Mytilus edulis: one gene and its partner. The protein of the gene in region 1 interacts with the protein of each later gene in a pairwise test. Links are inferred from orthologs where the notes say so. Each region holds a gene or a part of one and is shown on either strand. Other genes may lie near its edges.

Region 1 (11,555 bases):
AATAATGTTCAGCAAAATAAGATCTACAAATAAGTCAACATGACCAAAATTGTCAATTGACCCCTTAAGGAGTTATTGCCCTTTATAGTCAATTGTTAACAATTTTCATAATTTTTTGTTAATTTTTGTTAATTTTTAGGAAATATTTTCCTCTGTAATTACTGGGCCAAGTTCATTATAGATAGAGATAATTGTAGCACAAGAATTTTCAGTAAAGAAAGACCTACAAACACATTACCATCACCAAAACACCATTTTGTCATGAATTTAGCTGTGTCCAATATTAATATGCACATAGACCAAGGTGAGCGACACAGGCTCTTGAGAGCTTCTACTTAATGTATATGGCTCTGATCTGGTTGTAGATTAACATCTTAGAAATAGTTAAATTCATATTTATGATTTGTGTCAACATAATTGTAACAATTATAAAAATCATTGTGATAGATTGCTTTGCTCTTCATGGGCCCTTTAATTGAAATAAAAATATCTTATCTTATCTTATCTTATTCATTCCTGATTAAAGTTGTTTTACATCAATCATAAATTCCGAGTTGTACTCAAGAATATAGCCGAGCTGTTAAATCTCTCTCCGGCTGAAACCAAATACTTGGAAATTATTTATAATAGTAGTTGCCACTTCTCTACAAAGTACCAAACAATTAAGAATGTCGGTCTTGTTATGTTATTTTACCTCTCAAAGTTGGATCTGAGCATCATCGTGTAATAAAATAAATATATCTTATAATATTATTTTTTTTAGATATTTCCTTCTATGTTTTAATTATGCGTTGCCTTTTTTTTTTACATAAACTCCATATATATATATATGTACGTAAAATTTTTAATTGCAGGGCAAATGCAAAGTCAAAGAATACGATCAATGGCAAGTTGATTACCAGAAGTGCCTTAGCAAACATTGATGGTATTGGAATTCAGGCTTCCAATTTTCATGAATTATACAAGTCTTTCGTATATGATGAAATGTTTTCAAATGGTATCAAGTTAAGGATGATGCGATATCTTATTTCTGAGCAACTTAAGAGTTTAAAATTAGTTGGAAATTCAAAAAGCAAAGGGATCAAAATAACAATGACTGATGAAAAAGGCAACACGCCCAACTCACAGAATTTGACAGCTACAGAAAGACTAGAATCTGGAGAAACTACACATAAAATTGTTTCTGCGGATGTGATAACTATGGTAAATGCTGCAACTCAACAATCGGAAGATATTTATCATATACAGTCAAACGACAAACGTCCACCTTCGTCTAAGCATGGTAGATACAAGCGGTCTTTAAGGAGTTTGTTTTCGTTCAGGAGTGGATTGTTTGGCACAGGAAGACGGGTTTCATTCAGAAAAGATCTTTTCGGAGTATCATGGCCTGTAATGTATAAGATGTCTCCCCGCCGTCGTAAATATGTGCCATCAGTTTCCACTTTAACGTCATTTCAAGACTCGTATGGTATTCTAGATCCACTCGCAAGCAATCTGATTGGTTAAGAAGAGTATACCTACATCGAAACTTGAGTTTTAACTCTTTTGAATTAATAAATAGGACAAAGATCATTAAGTTGGTAGACTTATTGTTTTAATTTGATCCGTTTCTTATTATATGTTTTCTTTCTTCTTTCTATGCCTTAGGCCCTTATGAATTTGTTCGTAACATCTCTCGGAAATCGTAAATCAAATGTTTTCAAAACTATAGTAAAGGATCATGTAGCCCTTTGTCATTAATTGTTATTAAGTTAAAGTTTGCAGACTTTGGTTTTAAAGTTGAAAACGAATTAATTTGAGGAGGTCTTCTAAAGAAGCCTATTAGGAAATGTTCATTTGCACAATTACAATGTAATCATGTAGTTACTCCTGAATCAATTGGACTTAATTGCATTTCATTTGGTTTAACTTGGTAGCATACAGTCATGTGAACAAAACTTCCCAATTTTGAACTTTCCATTTATATTATGTATACCAACATTCCGGCAGCGCCTGCATATGGAGTATATGTAATTAGAATCTCCCAGTTTATATCTATATTCTAAGGCTTGCGTTTCCTTTATCATGATCATTAGATGGTTGCTGCTCACAATGAAGATGGCAAACGAAAAGATCCAAAGTGGTGAAGTTGAAATCATCCCTTCGTAAATTTTACGTACGCCATCACGATTTAGTTGACAGTTATTAAATTTCTGTATCATAGATGAAAATGGAGATATTACAGCTACCGTAAGGTTCCACAATATCGTCATTTTACTGAATTAGACTTATTACCAGGTTTGTACTAACATAGGCAACACGATGGGTGCCACATGTGGAATAGGATTTCTACTCACACCTTCGGAGGACATGAGATCACCGCCAATTTCTGTTGGAGTTAATGTTGTTCAGTGTCTAGTTTTATATATTTGGTTTTGTATACCATTGTTTGTCTTATGGTCGTTTTCTCACTTGATTGAGGGGGGGCGAGGGGTTTAGCTGTTATGCTGTTATGGGGCATTTTAATTCTTTGTTATCTGTTATTCTGAAAATATATTTGCTGTTAGCTGTTATTGTCTCATTCTTTGTTAGCTGTTATTGTCTCATTCTTTGTTAGCTGTTATTGGGTTTTTTAGTTATTTTGTTATCTGTTATTGTGATAATGTATTTGCTGTTAGCTGTTATTGAAAATTGGGATGTTAACATTTTTGGGACAGCCAAAATTCGGTAGAAATTGAAGATCATTGAACATTGGAGTCTACCACTAACTAATATGTTGGTCCCGTATTCGGAGAAGGATTCCATTAACATATACCCATCACAAAAGTGAGGTCCAGGACAATTCCATTATATCTTATGATTATCCTTCGTAAAAGCTTTTATATTATATGGTACATAGAATCAGCTCTTTTCAAAGCAGAACCAAATACATTGTACAATGAAAGTTCCCACCATGTACAGGGTTCCGAAGCTACACGTAACTCATTACAATTAAAGATTTATTTCAACTTCAAGCCATAGTTCACCTATTAAACTATATATATGTATTCTACTTACTAGTAGACTTGGTATACAATCAAAACCTGATAACAATTTGTTCAAATAAGGCCTTTGAAAATAGTGGAATAAATTACTTTTGGAGTGTCAAAATTGGTCCTACTTAATAAATTGCATGCTTATACTAGTAATTGGTGCTTTTGATTTTTCTACCCTATATACAACTTTGCCTCATAGTCTTATTCAGAAAAATTCACACACCTCATTAAATGGGCATTTAAAAAAAGTCAGAATGCGAATATATATATTCAAACTCTTTTAGGTCATTTTTTAATTGCAACAAACACAAGAACTATGTCAATTGGACCTACTTTGATACCATAACTGCCCTTGAATTTTTACTAGATATAATTTTTGTCTCTTTGACATATTCCTCATTTCCAATCTCAATTTTATTACACATTATTTAAATTACAAACATGTGTGAGTTTCGATATTTGTACAAAAATAAATGCTGAAAAAAGTATTCCATAACAAATAAACAGCTACGCCATGAGTGCATTATACGCCCGTCACCTTTTGGAAATATTCGATAACTTCTCAATGTCATATCAGATATTTATAAAAATCAGTCAATATATATCATGTATATAAACAATACATCAAAGTTTCATGAGAACTGCAGAGAACATTTTTGAGTTATTGTCCGAAAACTGGAAAATACCATCTTTTTTAATGAATAAACCCCTTAACTGAATAACATTAAATCGGAAATAAAAAAAAAATCGAAAAGGCATGTTCATAGAAAATGGAATTCATTACAAAGGATTATACCCGTAATAAGAAATACTGGATTTGTCAAGGACCCGACTTATTTTAATATTTCATTTACTGTTATCTGTTTTTGTCCATTTTAATTCTTTGTTATCTGTTATAAGCCAAATCAATTTGCTGTTTTGCTGTTATTGGGACCCCCTTGCCCCCCTCTTGATTCAAGGAAAAGTATTTGACCTAATTTGAATTTCATTTGTCTGTCGTCCGTCTTAAAATAGCGACTATGTCACATCTACATCTACATCTACATAATACTTCTTAACTTCAATATGTCACTCATTGACTAATTATAGAAACAAACAAAGCGTACACGAATGAAATGACATGTGAAGTATACTTAAATAAGACAGCAACCCAATGACGCCAACAACAAAAACAAAAATATATAGAACAACATACAGTCTACATAATATCACGTACGATGATTGTACAACAATAGCAGTATACACATTTAATCATTAAAGTCTATAACACCAAAGACAAATATTTGATGGATATTTCTTAAACTTGTTAATCGTTTATAAAATTGCTTTTATTAATTTCAAATTCCTGAAGGTAAAATCACACTTCCACATTATAATAGCGGACTACATTTGTGATAAAATTTTGTTATATATAAATTTTCAGTATTGAAAATATAAGGTTCGTTGAAAGCTGCGATGTCCAGTGGCGGATCCAGAAATTTTCATAAGTGGGGACCCACTGACTGACCTAAGAGGGGACCCGCTCCAGTCACGCTTCAGTGATTCCTTATATAAGCAACCAATTTTTTTCTCAAAAAGGGGGGCCGGGCACCCTGCCCTCCCCCTAAATCCGCCTCTGATGTCACTGCAAAAGTAAAATAACAAAAATACCAAACTCCAATGAAAATGATCTTACTAAATGGTAAAATCAAAAGCTCAAACACATTGATCAAATGGAAAACAACTGCCATATGTCTGACTTTGTATGCAGGCATTTCCGGACTTTTAGTATACAAAAAGGTGGATATTACACCTGTTGTTTTGGTTACTTAAAAAAACGCATACATCGACAAAAATTGATAATGTAAATTCAGTAATCTTGAAGCCAACTGAAGATCAACATTAAGAAAAGGAAAATAAACAATAGGAATGAAAAAAATCGTCCTGTTTATCGTAAACTTTATGATTACTCACGAGCCATTTTAATATTAAAGGGGCATTAGCTATGAGATAAAACGCAGTATTGCATTTTGATTATGATTTTTTTTTATCAACTATTAATGAAAGTGATATAGTGAAATAACAATTCGCGTTTAGTAGCCGATTTGGTCAATTTTGTCAAAATAAGATAAAAAAAAAAAAAAAAAAACCCCAACAAATGTCCATAGTACACGGATGCCCCACTCGCACTATCATTTTCTGTGTTCAGTGGACCGTGAAGTTATGCTCTAATTTGGCATTAAGATTAGAAAGATCATATCATAGGGTACATGTGTAATAAGTTTCAAGTTGATTGGACTTCAACTTCACCAAAAACTTTAACCTGAAGTGGGACAGACGGACCGTCGAACATGTGTATCAACCCCTGGCCTTAGCTGGATATAGGTTACACATGTATTGAGCTATTAAAAGGAAAATAATGTCAAATGTAAAGTGAAATCAGGATGAACCATTTGGGTGACTTATATTCGATCAACAAAAAAATTTGCATAATGGTAAAACGATGATAAACATACCTTTTAAGATACAATGTGATATCAAACACATCTAGAAAAATCTAATTGCACAAGGACGCTTTATATCAGTTAATGTTTAAATGTATGTTTATATTTGGTTATATGACCGTCGGCGGTCTTCTGAGGTTATCTCGATATGGTTATATTAGATTACTCGGAACAGGCACATATAAACATTGAATCAGCATTGGCGGGGTTAAGCATGTTATCTGATTTCTAATATATTCTACGTTTCTATGGGAAATAAATGCATGGGCAAAAAAAACGAGATTTTTCTTTTATAAGGATCAATTTCTTTTCAGAATGAAATGTTTTTATGAATAAACATGTTCATGCTTTGCCGACTGGTACTAGCATAGAATATTTTACAAAATATTCTATTAAAGGATCTCGAAAACCACTTGAACGACTAATTGGTTCTGAACTTACAGTTAAAAATATACATTTGAAATCCTCTTTAGATTACAGTTGAAGACCCCATCCGACATCAATCTCGTCTTTCGCCAATACTAAATTAAACATGTTAAAAGAAGAAAAATGGGGTGGGGGGGGGGGTCGGGGGGGGGGAGTGAAAAATTTATGATGTACCCATTTCTTTCCAGCTTTTTTTGAAAAGGACTATACATGTAATTGCCAACAAAGTTTTGGTTGGATAATAAGGCAGCGAATTTTCATCTTTAAGGCGTCCATTTTTTCCCCTCTGGAAACCCATTTCTAGTTTTCAACTTTATTGCTGTAATAAAGCAAAACACCGCCATATGTGTTATTTCAAATCTCACTAGATATTTCTATGTGCTTCATTTTATGGTAGAAACTGTCTTATTGATATATGTCATTTTTGTGCATAATTTTCACGGTACCTTGTGGAAGTTTTAGATTTGTTAAATAGATGCTATTTCGTTTGGCAAAACAACATTTTTAAAGTTAAAACGGTATTTAAATTAATTACTATTCCCCACCGACTTCATAAAAGCGGAAAGAAATAATTGGCTTCTGATTTCTTATATATGACATGTATATATGACCTAAAATCCTGTATTTAACCATGAAAATTAACAGTTAAGAAATATTTGGGACGATATATAATTGTTGGCATAGTTTTGACCAGTCATCTCTATTTGTATATTAAAGGCACAAAGTCTGCATGAGATGAGACAAATTGAACCTCACGTTATTTTCCAGCTGGAAATATCTGATTAAGGACATTCACATTGCAAACATGTGCTGCTCTATCAAACCAATCATCGGTCTTCAGAAAATGTCTACTCCTGGATGAATTTGACGGTCCGAGTTGTCTTCCTAGACGGTCTATTATGACTTAATAGTCGGTCCAATTTGAAGCGGTACGACTTGTCTCGGGGACGAGTTAGTCCACATTGGAAGAACTGTCACTTTAGAAAGCTTCTTTGTTTAAAACGTTTTGATGACAAACAAAACCGGAAGTGGTCCTTTTACCAGTTCTGACAGCCGGTGTCGCAACACTTCTGTTTATAACAGAAAATAATCTACCAACATCAGCCAAAATGATTATTTACAGGTGTAAAATATCAGGTAAATTAATAAATTATACACTTTTTGATATTTTTTGCCATTTTGATTAGCTGAATTTTACGATCAAAGTAGAAAACAGAATCTTTTATATGAGTGTATTAGTCAGCTGGTTTGTAAAGCTATTTCAAACACTCCCTTTACTATCCCAGTTTGGATCTGGCTGAAAAAACTGGTGACTTTCATTCAATGATTTGTTGTAAAGCTAATGTAGATAACAACACAGAAATCACTGTAGAGATCGACTGTAAACAATGGTCAACTAGACTGTTACAATTCTACTTTGAACAAATTATTATAACCGAACGGCGAAAGGAATCTGTGACGTACCCATCCATATTCATAAGTGGGAAATACAGATACAGATTATAAGTCCGAGATTACTCTGACGTCCAACGGCTGTTTTGCCAGACAAGCTGGGGCCGTGGGACGTCAGAGCTCGTCCCATATCAAAAAGTGGATATTTGCCCACCCAAAATAGATGCGCTGCTTCGTCGCTTCTATTTCTGATTGAGGGCCTTGAAATTATATAAATTGGGCATCAATCTGTTCATTTTTCATTTATCTCTTCATTTATGTAAGTTTCACCTACCTGCCCACCTTTATTTTTCCATATTTAAACAGTTTTCACAGAGACCCATCGATTTCTGCATTTTGACTTTCACTTTCAAATGGACGTCAAGTTACGAGAGAGTTCGTGGCCTCGAGACTCAAATATGCAAATATTTATATTTTTTCACCTCCTTTGTAGGAGATCAATGTTTAACATTTAGAAGCCAACCACGATTTTTCACCTCCTTTACAGGAGATCGGTATTAAGCATTTAGTTCCGACCACGATAACAATCGGAAGCTCTCGGACATTTAGATAACTTGCATCGTAAATGAACGAGGTGTTACAATATGGTCATTTGCACTGTTTTCTCATGGTCACGTGATAATCTTTGAAAATGAAAGTCAAAATGCAGAAATCGCTAATCTCAGCTTTAAAATTGAAAGTGAAAATTGTTGCTTGCAAGGTAAATTGGTCTCAAACTGTCATATTTTTTTTAGAAATAAAATGATCTTTGAACATCAATCGTGAATCCGTGCGGGAAATATGTGACAATCAACACGGGTACGGAATCGTCGCAGCTTAATTCTGTATAATGTCACCAGTAAATACTTTGAATGGTCTTAACTTTAACGAAGTTTCGTTGATATATACTTGCCAAAGATAGGTTTTAACAATAATGCACACGGAAGCGTAAATAAATGTCAAACTACAGAAAATGGTCAGCTGTTCATTAAAATATTTTTGTTTTAAAAAGTTGTATACCAAATATCTTAACCATATTCGATTTTATTAATTCTGAATGAACATGCTCTCTGCAAATAACAAAGGGGTGAATTCTAAGCAAAAGGCAGATGATGAAAGTAGAAGTATTTTTTCAGACCAATGACTTCTAATGAACAGGGAAATACACCTCCGATCCGTCTACACTCAGCTGTCAGTATACGCGGATATTATTGCTTCCCCTAATCCCAACCAAGCTAAAGTTTTAGCAAGTGATAAAAGCAAGCACCATGTTCTTGGTTTCAGTGACAAGTGGCTGACTGAGTTTTCATGGCTTAGAAATGTTAAAGGGGGTATCAGCAAAAGTTATTGTGAGAGGGGGTTTTGAACCCCTAAAGAGGATAAAGACAAAGTTGAGGAACAGACTGTCCAACAAAATAGCATTATCTTGAAACAATATCCCTAGGAGTAGGGAGTACAGAGATGAATATTTTTATTTTGACATCTTTAATGGACTGAATATAAATAACTTTTGTGTTTAAATCAATTTATTTCATATATTCTTGTAATTCATTAATACTTTGCATTATTAAACACACAACACAAAAGATTATAACTCATATTGCATGTCATGATTTATGACTGATTGATTGATTCAGATCACAAAAGTTCACTATAAAAAAGAGTTACACGCCCTTGAATTTTGCGCCTTAGAAAATTCCTGGGGAGAACACTGGTTAAAGATGTTTAGTGTGAAAATATGATTTAAAATTTGTTTCTTCAAAATTACTTGAGAAAATATATTATTGTATTACTTTTTTTCAGGAGATGAATTGTTCAGTGATGCTTTTGAACCAATGATTGTGAAAGAAGACTTCTTCTATGAAATTGAGGGAAAGGTAATTATTATTTACATTATCATCCTTCTCTTCATCTATATCACCCTGCTCAATTGCTTTGTTATTCTAGTACCAAGGCTTTGAGGTGTGATGTTATTCTTGTACCAAGGCTTTTTATGTGTAAGCAACCAATATAAGTGAATTACAATGTCTGCAGAAGAGTTTTCAACAACGTCATTATGTGTGAGATGTCCAGCATAAAACAATCGAAATGAGGGAGGAAATACCAGCAAAAGAACTAAACAGGTTATCTTGTTTTCTATGAATAGAATTCACAATCTTCAGGCTTTCATTCATGTTTGAAGAGATAATATTTATTAATCTGTTTGCTTAAAATGTATGGTAGAAATTAAAAATATAATCTAACATGTTACGATGTATTTGACAAACTACAATATACTTTTATCTTTTGTAGAATATTTCTATCAGCAATAAAATTGATGAATCTGCAATTGGAGCCAACGCTTCAGCAGAGGAGGCAGCAGAAGGCCAAGAAGACTTAGTAGAAACCAAAATTAATGTAATTTACAGTCACAAACTTCAAGAAACCAGTTTTGACAAGAAAGGTTTCCAGACATTTATCAAAGAATATATTAAAGTGTATGTCAAATTTTGTCATGCAGGTTCAACAAATCTCCATACGACCACTTCTGTTTATAATTTATGATTCCTAAAACATTTTAATTTCTAGGCAGTTTTTTTCATTGCATCATTTCAGTATCGAAAGATTTTCTATTTACACTATTTAATGTCCTTGAATATGAATTAAAATTCAGGATTCTATAAGTGCACTTTTCACCAGCCCAGTAGTCTGCACTTCTGTGTTGATATGGAGTATCATTGATAAACTTTCCAGGTCCTTGCTGTAGAACTTCTTTTTTTTTGTATTTGGGGAAACCAACATTCAGAATCCATAAGGCCTACAAATGTCTGATCAATTCACAGATTTCTGTAGAAAGTATAAAGAAAGTAGCTGAAATTGATCATTCAAATAGTTGAAAGATATATAATGCACACATGATTATTGAACACTTTCTAATTTGTCTTTTATATTGTAAAATTATATATATTGATCACATGTTTGTACCATTTGTATATGTAAAGATAAATTGTGCATGCATTTTAGAGACAGAAAATTAAATGGCTATACAGTTATAATACAATCAAATGCTGCATTTGATCATCAAGATTTCTAAACTTAAGTTTTTAATGATTGAATCCTTCAAAAAATATATTTTTGATATTTCAGATTATTAGCTAAAATTGAAGAAGAAAAAGGCAAAGAAGCTGCAGATGAATTCAAAAAGCGAGCAGCCACAGGTGTAAAAAAAGTTTTAGAAAACTTCAAAAATTGGCAATTTTTCCAAGGTATATTTACATGTAGTAATATATATTAAAGGCCAAATAAAAGTATATGTGTGGTCCTAGTTGCCCTCCAACCCTAGAACTTTTGTTCTTCATTTCTATTTCATAGGATCAATTTTTGAGGATTGTGAATTTAATTTTATATAATGAAATTCAGATTTTTGTCATCTGATTTTCCGAACTTAGCCACTATCATTATTAGGGTATTTAGTTAGAAAAATGGGTGGTGTGACCCAATCAACCAATCAAGATGGCTGCCATGGTCAGTGTTCTCCCCAGGATTTTTGGATAGCGCTGTGGTAAGCGCGTAATTTTCGACGATTCTCAGTAACTTTATCGCGGCACGCAGTTTGTTTGTAATTTATTTGTTATGTGTTTTTATTATATCATGCTGTTGATTTTTCCTCTTGTTATGATGTCCTTGTCATGCTCATGGAAGTTACAGTGTACCCATTAATGAGGCTTTGTTTGTTAACGACGTGTTATTGTCTGGATATATAGAAGAAGAGGTTTTTTTTCTCCATGGCCTTGTAATTTCATATATTAAATCCTCATACTATCTATGTATACAACTGAAGATGGATCTACACCAGACTGCCTGTGCCAAGATTTCTTAGCACCATCAGGTAATGTTGCAGAACATGTAGGACTAACAATAAAGTCATTATCAGTTTCTGTTTGGTTTTGTAACCAACTGTAGCAGTGTACTGTCAACCTTACGACGTTTGACAGGAATTTACATTTCTCATTTTTATGACCCAAACGTTTTATAATATTTAAATGGCTTCATCCAAGCTGGACATCGAGAAAGTAAATTTCTCAAGTCGTATCAGCTTGGGGTTTGTTTTTCTAATCATATCCTCTCAAAATTGTTATCAAATGGTAGAATTTCTGACAAAAAAATTATAAGTTCAAATAGGAAATAACTAAAACCTAACAGACTTGCTCATTTTCGGGGT
Region 2 (11,172 bases), on another chromosome or scaffold:
GCGAAAACCAAGAAAATGCTTATTTGGGCCCTTTTTGGCCCCTAATTCCTAAAATGTTGGGACCAAAACTCCCAAAATCAATACCAACCTTCCTTTTGTGGTCATAAACCTTGTGTTAAAATTTCATAGATTTCCATTCACTTTTACTAAAGTTAGAGTGCGAAAACTAAAAGTATTCGGACGCCGGACGACGACGACGACGCAGACGCCAACGTGATAGCAATATACGACGAAAATTTTTTCAAAATTTGCGGTCGTATAAAAAGGAATGAGTAGTCATAAAGTATTGGTATTATTTTACCCCTTGACTAAATAACTGTTTTCATTAACAGACTGCATAAATTCAATAAATAGTAATAGTTGATGATGGAGATGGATAAGAAAAGAAACACAGAATCACAGCTCACTCAATCATATTAGTAACCATTATGTGTTTAGGTAATAGCCTATATTTTGTGTGCTTCTCAAAGTTAATAAGTTCCTTTCAATTTTTATGTCAAAACATACCTATTGCAACATTCAGTGAAATTTGATCAAACAAGATATTTGCTGCACCAAGCATACTCTAAAAGAATGCTGAATCAAAACTTACCTTTTACGAGAATTTACTGAATACACTAAAACGTAACCATCTACAGAAATATAATAACTCTGAGGTAGAATAGAATATTCATCCTGTAAAAAAGATTATAAAATAATATGAATTATTATGTTCAATCATAGACGGCAAATGATTACTAAATTTCTTTCAGATTTTAATTCCATTCAATAAAAGTATACGTATATACAAAACCAGATGCTCAACAGGGCGCAGCTTTATATGACCGCAGATTGAACCCTTAACGGTTTGGGCAAGTATTGACATAACATTCAAGCTGAATACAGCTCTGAATTTGGATTGTGATTAAATAGTTGACACAGCATAAGTTTCTGACACAGAATGAATGTGGTCTAATGAACTTAATTTTTTTTTTTGCTTTTGAGCAAATAACTATGCTGTTGAAAATTAATCCTCTCAAAGAAAAAACAATTTTGTTATTTTGTTCATGAACTTTTGCAGACATAAATGTATTTATAATTCTTTTACTCTAATCCTATCCAAAAAAATACCAAAAACAACTTTTTCTCAAGGAGAATGTATAATTTTACAGAATCAAAACAGAAAATTAAAGTACAATTGGGCATAACAACAATCTAACTTTGATCAATGCACAGAGTTATCTAATATCACTTTTATAATAATTTTCACTGAATAGAAGCGAGCCTTGTGTAACCAACCTGTCCTGCTGTGTCAACAACTTCTAAGGCATACTCTTGTCCTTTTATCTTTAGATTCTTGTGGAAGGCTATAAAATACAAAACAGGAAACTTTATTATTGTATATTCAGTGCAATTTTGGTTAAATTTATTTGTGATACAGATGTTCCGATTTTAAAATATTTTACCGATAAATGTCCTTCACACAAAACTTGTTAACTTGCGTTTGTGAATTTACATTATTTTTCCTTTTAACAAAGTATTAATTGTTGTAATTAAACTTCAAAAATTGATAAAATCTGATATGCTTTTAAACATTTCATTTAATACTACCCAGGGTTCTCACAAGGATATCTTTAGGGTGAATTCGGGGATTCATCTCTTTTCATCATATTGAACATTTGCTAGTTTGTAAATGATTTACTACAACTATTATAATAATCCTCAATATTCCAGTGGTTAGGTTTGTTAACTGTGATCATTTCACTGATTAAACTTTATTTACACTGATGTAAAGCTCAAGACCAACAGCTGATCCAGATAAGAATTATTTGAGTTACAAATGTAATATTATAAGACCTTACCAAAATCAATTGAGCCTCACTTCTGCAAAAAGAGATGAGCTCTACTCTAGGACTTCAAATAATGTTAGCGAAAACCCTGATTACAATTTGGAATATGAGATTGGAGTTTCATACTTACTGTTTTCTATTGTTGGATCATATGAATCAACAAACTGTTTTTCTATAAACTGAATGGTAACTGATGATTTTCCTACAATATAAAACATAAAACGATAATAAAGACAATAGCCAATAATTACAGCATGGTAAGATTTTATTCTGGTTTACATGTTTCGCCAACAAGCGTAGTGTCTTGAGGACAATATAACATTAGAAATCAAACAGTGAAGTACAAAAAATAATGTTACAATAAAGGTTGTTATGACAAAGTTACAGATATAAATAGAAAGTGAAATAACAGTGTTCTAGCTACAAAGTTTGAACATGGCGCAGCACTGGCCCTTTTTTATTGAAGGCCATGCCTTTTATCTGCTGTTTTCTCAAGGGCCCCGCCGTTTTTAGCACTAAAATCTAGCATTTTCTGCCTTTGAAATGCTGGCAAATTTGTAATTCTTCTATGAACAGAAAGTTCAGTTAGCTGTGTAAACTCTCTAAAAAAGTGCATATCTTCACCTGACAGCTTTGGTGTCAAACACATTGGTAATTAACACCAATTACCTTAGGCTTTAAGTAAATAATAATTTATGTATTTCAAAAATGTTTGACAAACAAATTTGATTTATTTCCTCTTTTATATCACCTTTCACGTTATACTCCTTACATTAATGTTCTTTTTCGTAAAAAAAACCCAAACTTTAATAAATTGAATGCAAATGCATATCAGATACATGTATTACTTTAAGGTTTATGTACCCTTCTGTAGCCATTTTTGTACGAATTTTTCAAACCTCAATTGTATCAAAACTGAAGATATAATAAATAATAGAGATAGGCCATTTAGTACATGTTCCAAGGGGAAACTTGATGCAAAGCAATATTTTTTACTGTTTCATTGCATTTGATAGAAAAAGAGGATTTTGTGGCAAATAAATCAAGATTTTTATAGAAAATCCACAGCCTTTAATACAGAGAATTTTGTTATAAAATTTGAAACATAAATTACTCACTTGATTTTCTATGATGTGCTAGTGTTTATTTTTTACAAAAAGTTCTAAGTAACCTGTAAATTCCAAAACACCTCGTGCTGAGTCACTAAAGTCGAGCGCACCCTAAAAGGTGTACTTGATTTTGGCCATATTTATACTTGTCTTAACCAATAACTACATTTATAAACTTGTTTTAAGGAAATCAATGCTAGCACTGCATGCAATAATCCTATATCTATCAGTCATCACATTGCCAAATATGAGAGTACAAGGATAAAGGCTGTGGATTTTCTATAAAAATCTTGATTTATTTGCCACAAAGTCCTCTTTTTCTATTAAATGCAATGGAACAGTAAAAAATAATGCTTTGCATCAAGTTTCCCCTTGGAATATGTACAAAATGGCCTATCTCTATTATTCATTATATCTGTAGTTTTGATACAATTGAAGTTTGAAAAGTTCGTACAAAAATGACTACAGAAGGGTACATAAACCTTAAAATATTTTTTCACCGGAATTTCTTAATTTTACCTAAAAAATTAACATTTTGAAAATTATTTGTTTCATCTTAATTTTCATTTATAACTGATCTATCAAGTGGATTGAAGGAATACTAGTTATACATTTTATATTGCAGTTTTTATAAGATGAAGTATGAATTCCTAATTGGTGACAAGGTCCTCTAAAACTTCCATAGTCGCCAATTAGGAATAAACACTTCATCTTATCACAGTGGTCTCGCTAGCCCGAAATAGAAGGGCGCCGCGCCCTGGGTGCCCTCAGCCGCGCCCTGGGTGCCTTCATCCGCGCCCTTCTGCCCTGACGTCTTTTTCCAAAATTATCTTGCGCCGTTTTGGTAAAATTTTGTTTCATCGATTTCTGATCTCCAAATTAATTACATATATGACACCTGTGTGATTGCCCCCAGGTTAATCATGTCATTACAATCAATTACAATGATAAAGACTTCAAAGGTGTTAATACAAATGTAACTAGGTAATTTAATTAGGACAATGTATCTTTTTGTCATACTTTTGATGAATGTGTCAACGAGTGTTTAGCTTGGAGTGTGTTTAGCTTGGGTCGGCATTTTCGATCTCTAAGTCACAATGATTATCATACATGTGATGGACTTTGAAACTCAGATCAGGAGATTGGGAAATTTTGGTCAGATTAGGTCTCAGATCAGGAGTTTTTTACCGACATAAATTTTGTTGTAAATGTAAACGTGTGATGTCAAAATTGTCTTTCAAAGTGGTTTTTCTGCAACTTTCCATCTGAATGTAACATGTTTATACAAAATGTAGTACCCTTATACTTTTAAATTTTCTTTATCTTTATTCTATCTAACAACTTTTTTTTCCAGAACATTTGTTAATATCATACTTTTATCTTTTGTTTATGCTTTAATCATTATGAAATTCACTGCAAAATGATTTATTTTGTCATATCATTAATTTTTCCTTTTTAGGTATGTTTATTTTCTATTGAATGTTTCCTTTATAAGCAGCCATTTTAGCAAAAGGGTCCACAAAAACCTTAACCAAAACTTGATTTTACCATAGTTCCTAAGTTATATTCTTATTAATTATGAGGCATAAATAATTGCCCTTTTTCAATGACATTCATGCAAAAATTGCCTTTTTTCTGACTAGCACCTTGCCCTTTTAAAATCCTGGCTAGAACACTAAATAAGAATCTAGTTACATGTAAGTTAAAAGTTAAAGTAAGTCAATAAAGTTATTTATCAATGTCGTTAGCCGCTATTCTCACACGTCTGTGTAGTTGATTTCAGGGAGCTCAAGGTTTCTAGTGGCATTTTTGTAGAAATGATGATAGTGGACCATAAAATGTCAGTTCATTTCTAAATTGGACAACACCCCACTGGCCATCCAGTTACAATACAAATGTACATCTTATTGCTATTTTTCATCCATTACTGGACATCACAAAAGTTCCCATAAAATTTTGACGTAATAAAAGAAAATATCTGAACTCACAATAGAAAAGTGATTAATGTATGTCAAAAGTTTGAGCGGGATAGACTTTTAAATAGCGATAAGGTGTATTCAACTGGCTTCGCTCTGAGGGATGTCATGATGTTCAGCATCAAAGTTCCAGTATAAAACATCAAAAGGCTAACAGGGAGTACTTGCTTCCTTCAGTAATTTGTAAGGTGTTTTACATTTTGTCATATGAAGGTATACCAATTGGGATGTAAGATGAATGGGGTATACGATTTACTATCAAAATATCTGGGCACTGCTACAAATGTACATTTTTTTAGATTCAACGAAAAGAAAATTTATATGATACAGAGAAACCAACCAACAGATCTGAAGCCCATTAAAGCTATTCTTTTTTGTTTTGCTGCCATTTCTGTTGATCACAACATATAAAAGGACAAGGTCTGTTTTTTGTGAATGTAAACACGTTTGTTTTTGTTTTCAAACCATGTCAATGTCGCATTGCAAAATTATATTGACTTCCGGTTCTTATTGTTTTTCCGAGTTACGTCCCCTTGATAAGTGAAAAGGACAAGTCGCCCTATTCTCGACTCGACCTTTTCTTTGTCAAACACAGAAGGTTCGAATCATATATGAATAACGTAACGATCTTGCAACTTGACATCGATATATTATATCACTAAGTTTTTACGTACTCCCTGATTCAGTATTTTCAAAGAAATAAATTCTTCTCAAGTTTTGTAATTTATTTGGGATGCAAAAGTGTTGTCACAGGGACTTTCTATACTGACTAACAGAAAGTCCCTGGTTAACCGAATCAGATTTTGTATGAAATCGCTTTATTGGAAAATGTGTGCATGATCAACTCTTTAAAATACCATCATAGTAAAATAACAAAGAGAAGCCGTGATTCATTTTTACAATTACATGTTTATGCTAACATGCCTGCCTACCTCAAAAGTAATGTTCGCCCCTTTGCAGATGACATCATTGTGTTTTTAACAATATCATCACATGCTCATTGCAAAACCCTTAAATCATCCACGTAACAAGAAAGCAATCATCTTTACATACACACTACATGATCACTTATTAAAAGCAACAGACAATGCTAAGAAACGACAATTTAACTTAAAAAAAGGGGGCAGGGTATGGATCCCCAGTTTGATGAAAAAATATTGTGGTCAAGCAGATGACAAAAACAAATGTCTGAATCCAGATTCTCCCCATTCCTTATAGTGTTAAATGTAAAAAAAAATCCCGACAAAACCCAATCCCCTTTTGAAGCTAAATGGTTGCTCCCTAAAACTCATTATTCACGTGGAATTTACGTGAAAATTTTCATGTAGGATTCACGCCGGTATAAGGTCGTCTAGGGTAGATTTCACTTTGATTCCACTTGTAGCTGGAAAATCTCCCCGTATATAAAAGAATGTTGTTGTTTTTTTATTTTAGGATACAAATACTATTAATTGGTATCGAGAAAAATGAATATAAAAAAATCAATTTCTATTTTTCATTCTATATGTGCATAATAAAAAACGATTGAGGAAAACTTGGAAGAATTTGTATGAAATCAAAAGACGCATGTCATTAGATATCTGAAATGAAATTTTATACGTGAACTATACAAGATACTGAAAATAGTATTTTTCATGAATTTGATTTAATTTAAAAACTTAGATGTTAATTGAATAACTTTATATTGAAAATTCACGTGCATTTCAAGTGTAAAAAATTCACGTGAGTGAATTTCAGGTTAAACATACATGAAAAGTGAGTTCCACGTAGTATACTATATAAAAAACGAAGATGTGGTTTGATTGCCAATGTGACAACTCTCCACAAGTGACCAAATGACCAACTGACACTGAAATTAACAACTATATGTCACCGTACGGCCTTCAATAATGAGCAAATCACCATACAATATATTCAGCTATAAAAGGCACTGAAATTACAAGTGTAAAACAATTCAAACGAGAAAACTAACGGCCTAATTTATGTACAAAAATATGAAATAAAAACAAATATGTAACACATCAACAAACGACAACCACTGAATTACAAGCTCGTTTGAGGTGAAATTCACTTGAGTGAAATATCCCGGTATACAAGATTGTTTTCTGCTAGTGCAATTGAGAAACAGTTATTTAGCCTAATGATTTGCCCATTAGTTAATAATAACTAATATGAATCATATAGTACTGTCACAACTTAAGGTTACAAATGATGTACTACAAATACCTGACCACAAACTTATCATTTTATAAATAATTGTATGATCTATTACTACATTTACTATTATATATGTGGCATGTGGTACCAGTATGGAATCAGTCATTTGTAAACATTGACATTCAAAATGACAACAAATATATCTTAGGTTATGTACTTGTTTAACCTATAAATGTCTGACCAGTGCATTAACATATAAATTTGAATCTTGTCTGTTATGATATATGACATCAGTTGTTTAAAAGTATATGTGTATGAGTCTCTCAAGAAAAATATCAATAAGTTTAATAGGTACCATAATTGATGATACTGCACAGAAACAAGAAAATATTGGTAAAGTTTATCCAAATGAAATTATACAATCACTGCCCAGTCAGCAGACTAACAGTGGGCCAACGTTGGCAAATGGTCGGCCCGTTGGTCGACCGTTGGTGTTGGCTTCACAACATTGGCCCAACGTTGGCAAATTGTCGGTCCGTTGGTCGCAAGTTTATGTTGGCTGCACAACATTGGCCCAACGATGGCAAATTGTCGGTCCGTTGGTCGCAAGTTTATGTTGGCTGCACAACATTGGCCCAACGTTGGCAAATTGTCGGTACATTGGTCGCACGTTGGTGTCGGCTGCACAACATTGGCCCAACGTTGGTCTGTTGTTGTAAATTCATATTATTATCTCATGTTGGTTATAAATAATCGGGCAAATGTTGGCATTATGTTAGTAGCAACATAGGGCCGATATGAAATTTTGTTAATAGAATTGATTATATAATATTTTGCGCTTTATTTCTCTTGGGAGGCGGATAATTTCGATTGCAGCAAGCTTTATGAAAAGTTAATGTTATACCGAAAGTGTTTATCAACTGAAATTACATTTACAACTCTATGCTGGGCCAATACTGGCCCAACGTTGCGTGATCATATATTATACTCTATATATAATTAAGTCAGGTAAAATTTATACTGGAATATCATTACTGTAATAAAAAAAATGTATATCGTAAACATAGATTGCCTGGTTAAAAATTAAAATTTATTGCAATCATTATTTATAATAACTTTATTCATTAAACTTTGTGAAACAAAATAATAGCAATTATATGCAGAGTGATATTTGATACAGCCAGTCTGTTAATCAAGCCCATTCTGATAAGGTTTGAACATATGTTCGACAAATTTCAAAGATAGTTGCTATGGTAATTAAGTTTATAGGAAATCTGAATGTAATGGGATGGTCACTTTTGTGATTATTTCCTGTTGTGTATTTGTAAGAAAGCAGTGATACGAAGAAAACAAAAAGAGAAAATCATGTCATCTGAGATTCAACGAGAAAGATAGTAACATGTAAGTTGTAACTTTAAAAAATCTGATATATATATATATACGATTACACGGCCGACACTCGGCTAACCGAGAGATAGTCGGTTAATCTATATTGAGTATGCGGCTATATCGGCGGTTGGTCTGTTAATCGGGTTGGTTATACGTCTGTTAAGAGTAAAACGCACAATTTTAATATTAAAATCTATTTAATATACAGATTTTAGGTACATTATAAGAATCAAATCAAAAAAAGAAAAGTGTCTGACAAAATGATATATATCATAGAACAGTTTCCAACTGTAAAAACATTTCATAGTCTGCGCAGTTTTCAGTAAAACTAAAAGGCGTCGCGCAAGTATGTAGTATTTATGCTTATACGCATAGCAATTTTTGTAATGAAAGGCGAAAAAAACAATTTTAGATATCATTTAAAGGACACAAAATCGTACTTTGGTTCTAAAATATAAATTGAAATTAGTAAATATTTCATAATTGTAATATAACGTCAGTAATACCACGTTTTAGTGAACATTATGGGAATAAAGTCTGTTAATGGGTTGGACAATTGAAATTGTGTCAGTTAAGAGTTATTTAGTCACGACAATAGTTGTGCTACCTTTATATTTTCCCTTTGAAAAAGTTAAGAATGAGATGCTCTTGAGTAAAAAAAAAATGACAATACGCTGCAACAGTATCCTTCTAGTAAGAACATTTTTATTTTGACTTCCTTTGCATTTTATAAAGGAGTGTGTCACTTCAATATATGGATATGGATTGCCTGCTGGAATATGCATGAATCTATTATTAACGTTTTCTTCAGCCTTTATTTGTGTGTCTGTTCAAAGTAGCACGTTCTCAAATCCGTCCGAAAGTGTCTTTCTAATACAACACAGGGTACATATAACGTGTTGTCGTTCTCATATGCACATGATATTTGTCACTGGACGTTAAACTCTAAATCGTCAACATCATTCGATTGGTTCTTTTCTTCTATTACTGAATCATCTGTTGTTTACAAATCAGTCTAAAGAAGTAAATGGAAAGGAGCGAATGCAGCTACATTTGGTTATCTTAAGTTTTAATTCATTTTATTCCGTTTAGTTCCTTTCTACATAAGTGCAGAGGAGAACTGCAGTTGTCCGCATGTAAACTTTTAGCATTTATTACCAATATGAGTACATAGCAATCCGTTACTGTTTCAACACCAAGGGAAGTTTCATGTCATTAATCTCAAACAGTTATTATTTTTTTTATCTTTTTTTATTAATGCATCACTTCCTACTGTCCTTATCTATTATTCTATATATTCTGTGTTTCCATCCAGATTCTCGTGTATACAATGAGGGTCCGGATTGGGGGTGTTGTTTATTTCTATATTCTTTAAATTGTCTGTTACTTTTCTCTACATTTTATTTTATCTTACTCATTATTATTTCTTTATTCTTTATATATTCTAGCATCCCAATATATTTTAATTACTGATGTTTAGTTACATTACGACGTTTATCTCTGATTTATATACTGGTTAATACCAATTTAGATACAAATTAGTGTCATTCATGACAACCTAAACAGAATCCGCATGATATATGCGAACATTCTTGGATGAAATCAATATGTATAGATTATAACATGCCCTTTTCTATATTAGCCCTGGTATCATCCCGAGACTCCCATATCGGCCTCGAGGCTTTAGCCGAGGGCCGATATGGATTGAGGGATGATACCAGGGCAAATATGGAAAAACATGTTATAATCTTTAAAGCTATTTATCACATATTTAAGTGTTGCAGAAAAGAGGGGAAAAAGTTCAATTATAACAATTTAATGAAACATAACAGGTAAATCTTAAAAATGTATCCGTATCCATAACAAATATGTGATAAGATATAAATAACACATAGCTGAGAGGGTGATAGAGCAAATTGGGTCCCGAGAAAACATTGTCAACCGCGGCGAAGCCAAGGTTGACAATGTTTTTTCGAGGGATACCGATCTGCTCTAGCACCCTCTCAGCTATGTGATATTTGATTTATTATAATGAATGTCTTATCATCATTTTCTTTAACAGATGAGTTTTATTATAAAGTATTTTCTATGTAGTCACGTACTTGACAGCGTAACGGGTATTTGAAAAATCATCAGAAGTGAAGTAAATAGACAATAGTAGTGCATTGACTTGACATATAAACGATACAAGGATTAGGCCCGAAACGGGAAAAAAGCTCTGCTATCAAGAAAAAAAATATTTTCAATTGTTGTTATTTTGTTATTGTTATTTATTTTATTTAAATTTTGGGTATCTGGCTGAGAAATATACATCACAATGAACATGATGAAATGAACATCACCAGTTGAAACCCATCGATGGTGAACGAATGCGTTTAATATCAACAATAAGCATAACACACAATGATTTATAGGTTTTAAAGTAAAAATATTAACAAGTGAAATACGTTTTTCCAACAATTGTAAAAGAAATAAGTTTGAGTCGTTCCACGCTTCGTTGTATAGTAAATTAGAACTTTAAGCATTGTCTATAAAATAACTTGATGTAGATTCAATTCATTGTCGTTTAAATGCCGATTTTTGATTGGTCTAGCCGAGAGGGTGACATTCCAAAAAAATTGTCACCCGCTCAGCCATGTGATAGAGTAAATTAAAACCTTCGTATTAGGCAATCGAAATATGGCATTTTAACATGATGTATAATAATACTTT

What was found. The genes of interacting proteins can lie anywhere in the genome.
Region 2: the proteins of translationally-controlled tumor protein homolog (region 1) and GTP-binding protein Rheb-like interact in binary tests that used the Drosophila melanogaster proteins (3 or more experiments, as listed by UniProt). The link is inferred for Mytilus edulis from reciprocal best matches to the Drosophila melanogaster genes Tctp and Rheb.

Annotation. Positions count from the first base shown.
Region 1 is NC_092346.1:46,576,882-46,588,436, forward strand, and holds the start of translationally-controlled tumor protein homolog, read left to right. Parts: upstream 1-6,906; 5' UTR 6,907-7,032; coding exon 7,033-7,060; intron 7,061-9,157; coding exon 9,158-9,231; intron 9,232-9,646; coding exon 9,647-9,831; intron 9,832-10,480; coding exon 10,481-10,599; intron 10,600-11,555. UniProt on the Drosophila melanogaster protein: Involved in calcium binding and microtubule stabilization.
Region 2 is NC_092345.1:73,200,396-73,211,567, forward strand, and holds the start of GTP-binding protein Rheb-like, read right to left. Parts: upstream 5,439-11,172; 5' UTR 5,304-5,438; coding exon 5,255-5,303; intron 2,032-5,254; coding exon 1,960-2,031; intron 1,347-1,959; coding exon 1,279-1,346; intron 676-1,278; coding exon 593-675; intron 1-592. UniProt on the Drosophila melanogaster protein: Binds GTP and exhibits intrinsic GTPase activity. Activates the protein kinase activity of TORC1, and thereby plays a role in the regulation of apoptosis. Stimulates the phosphorylation of S6K through activation of TORC1 signaling.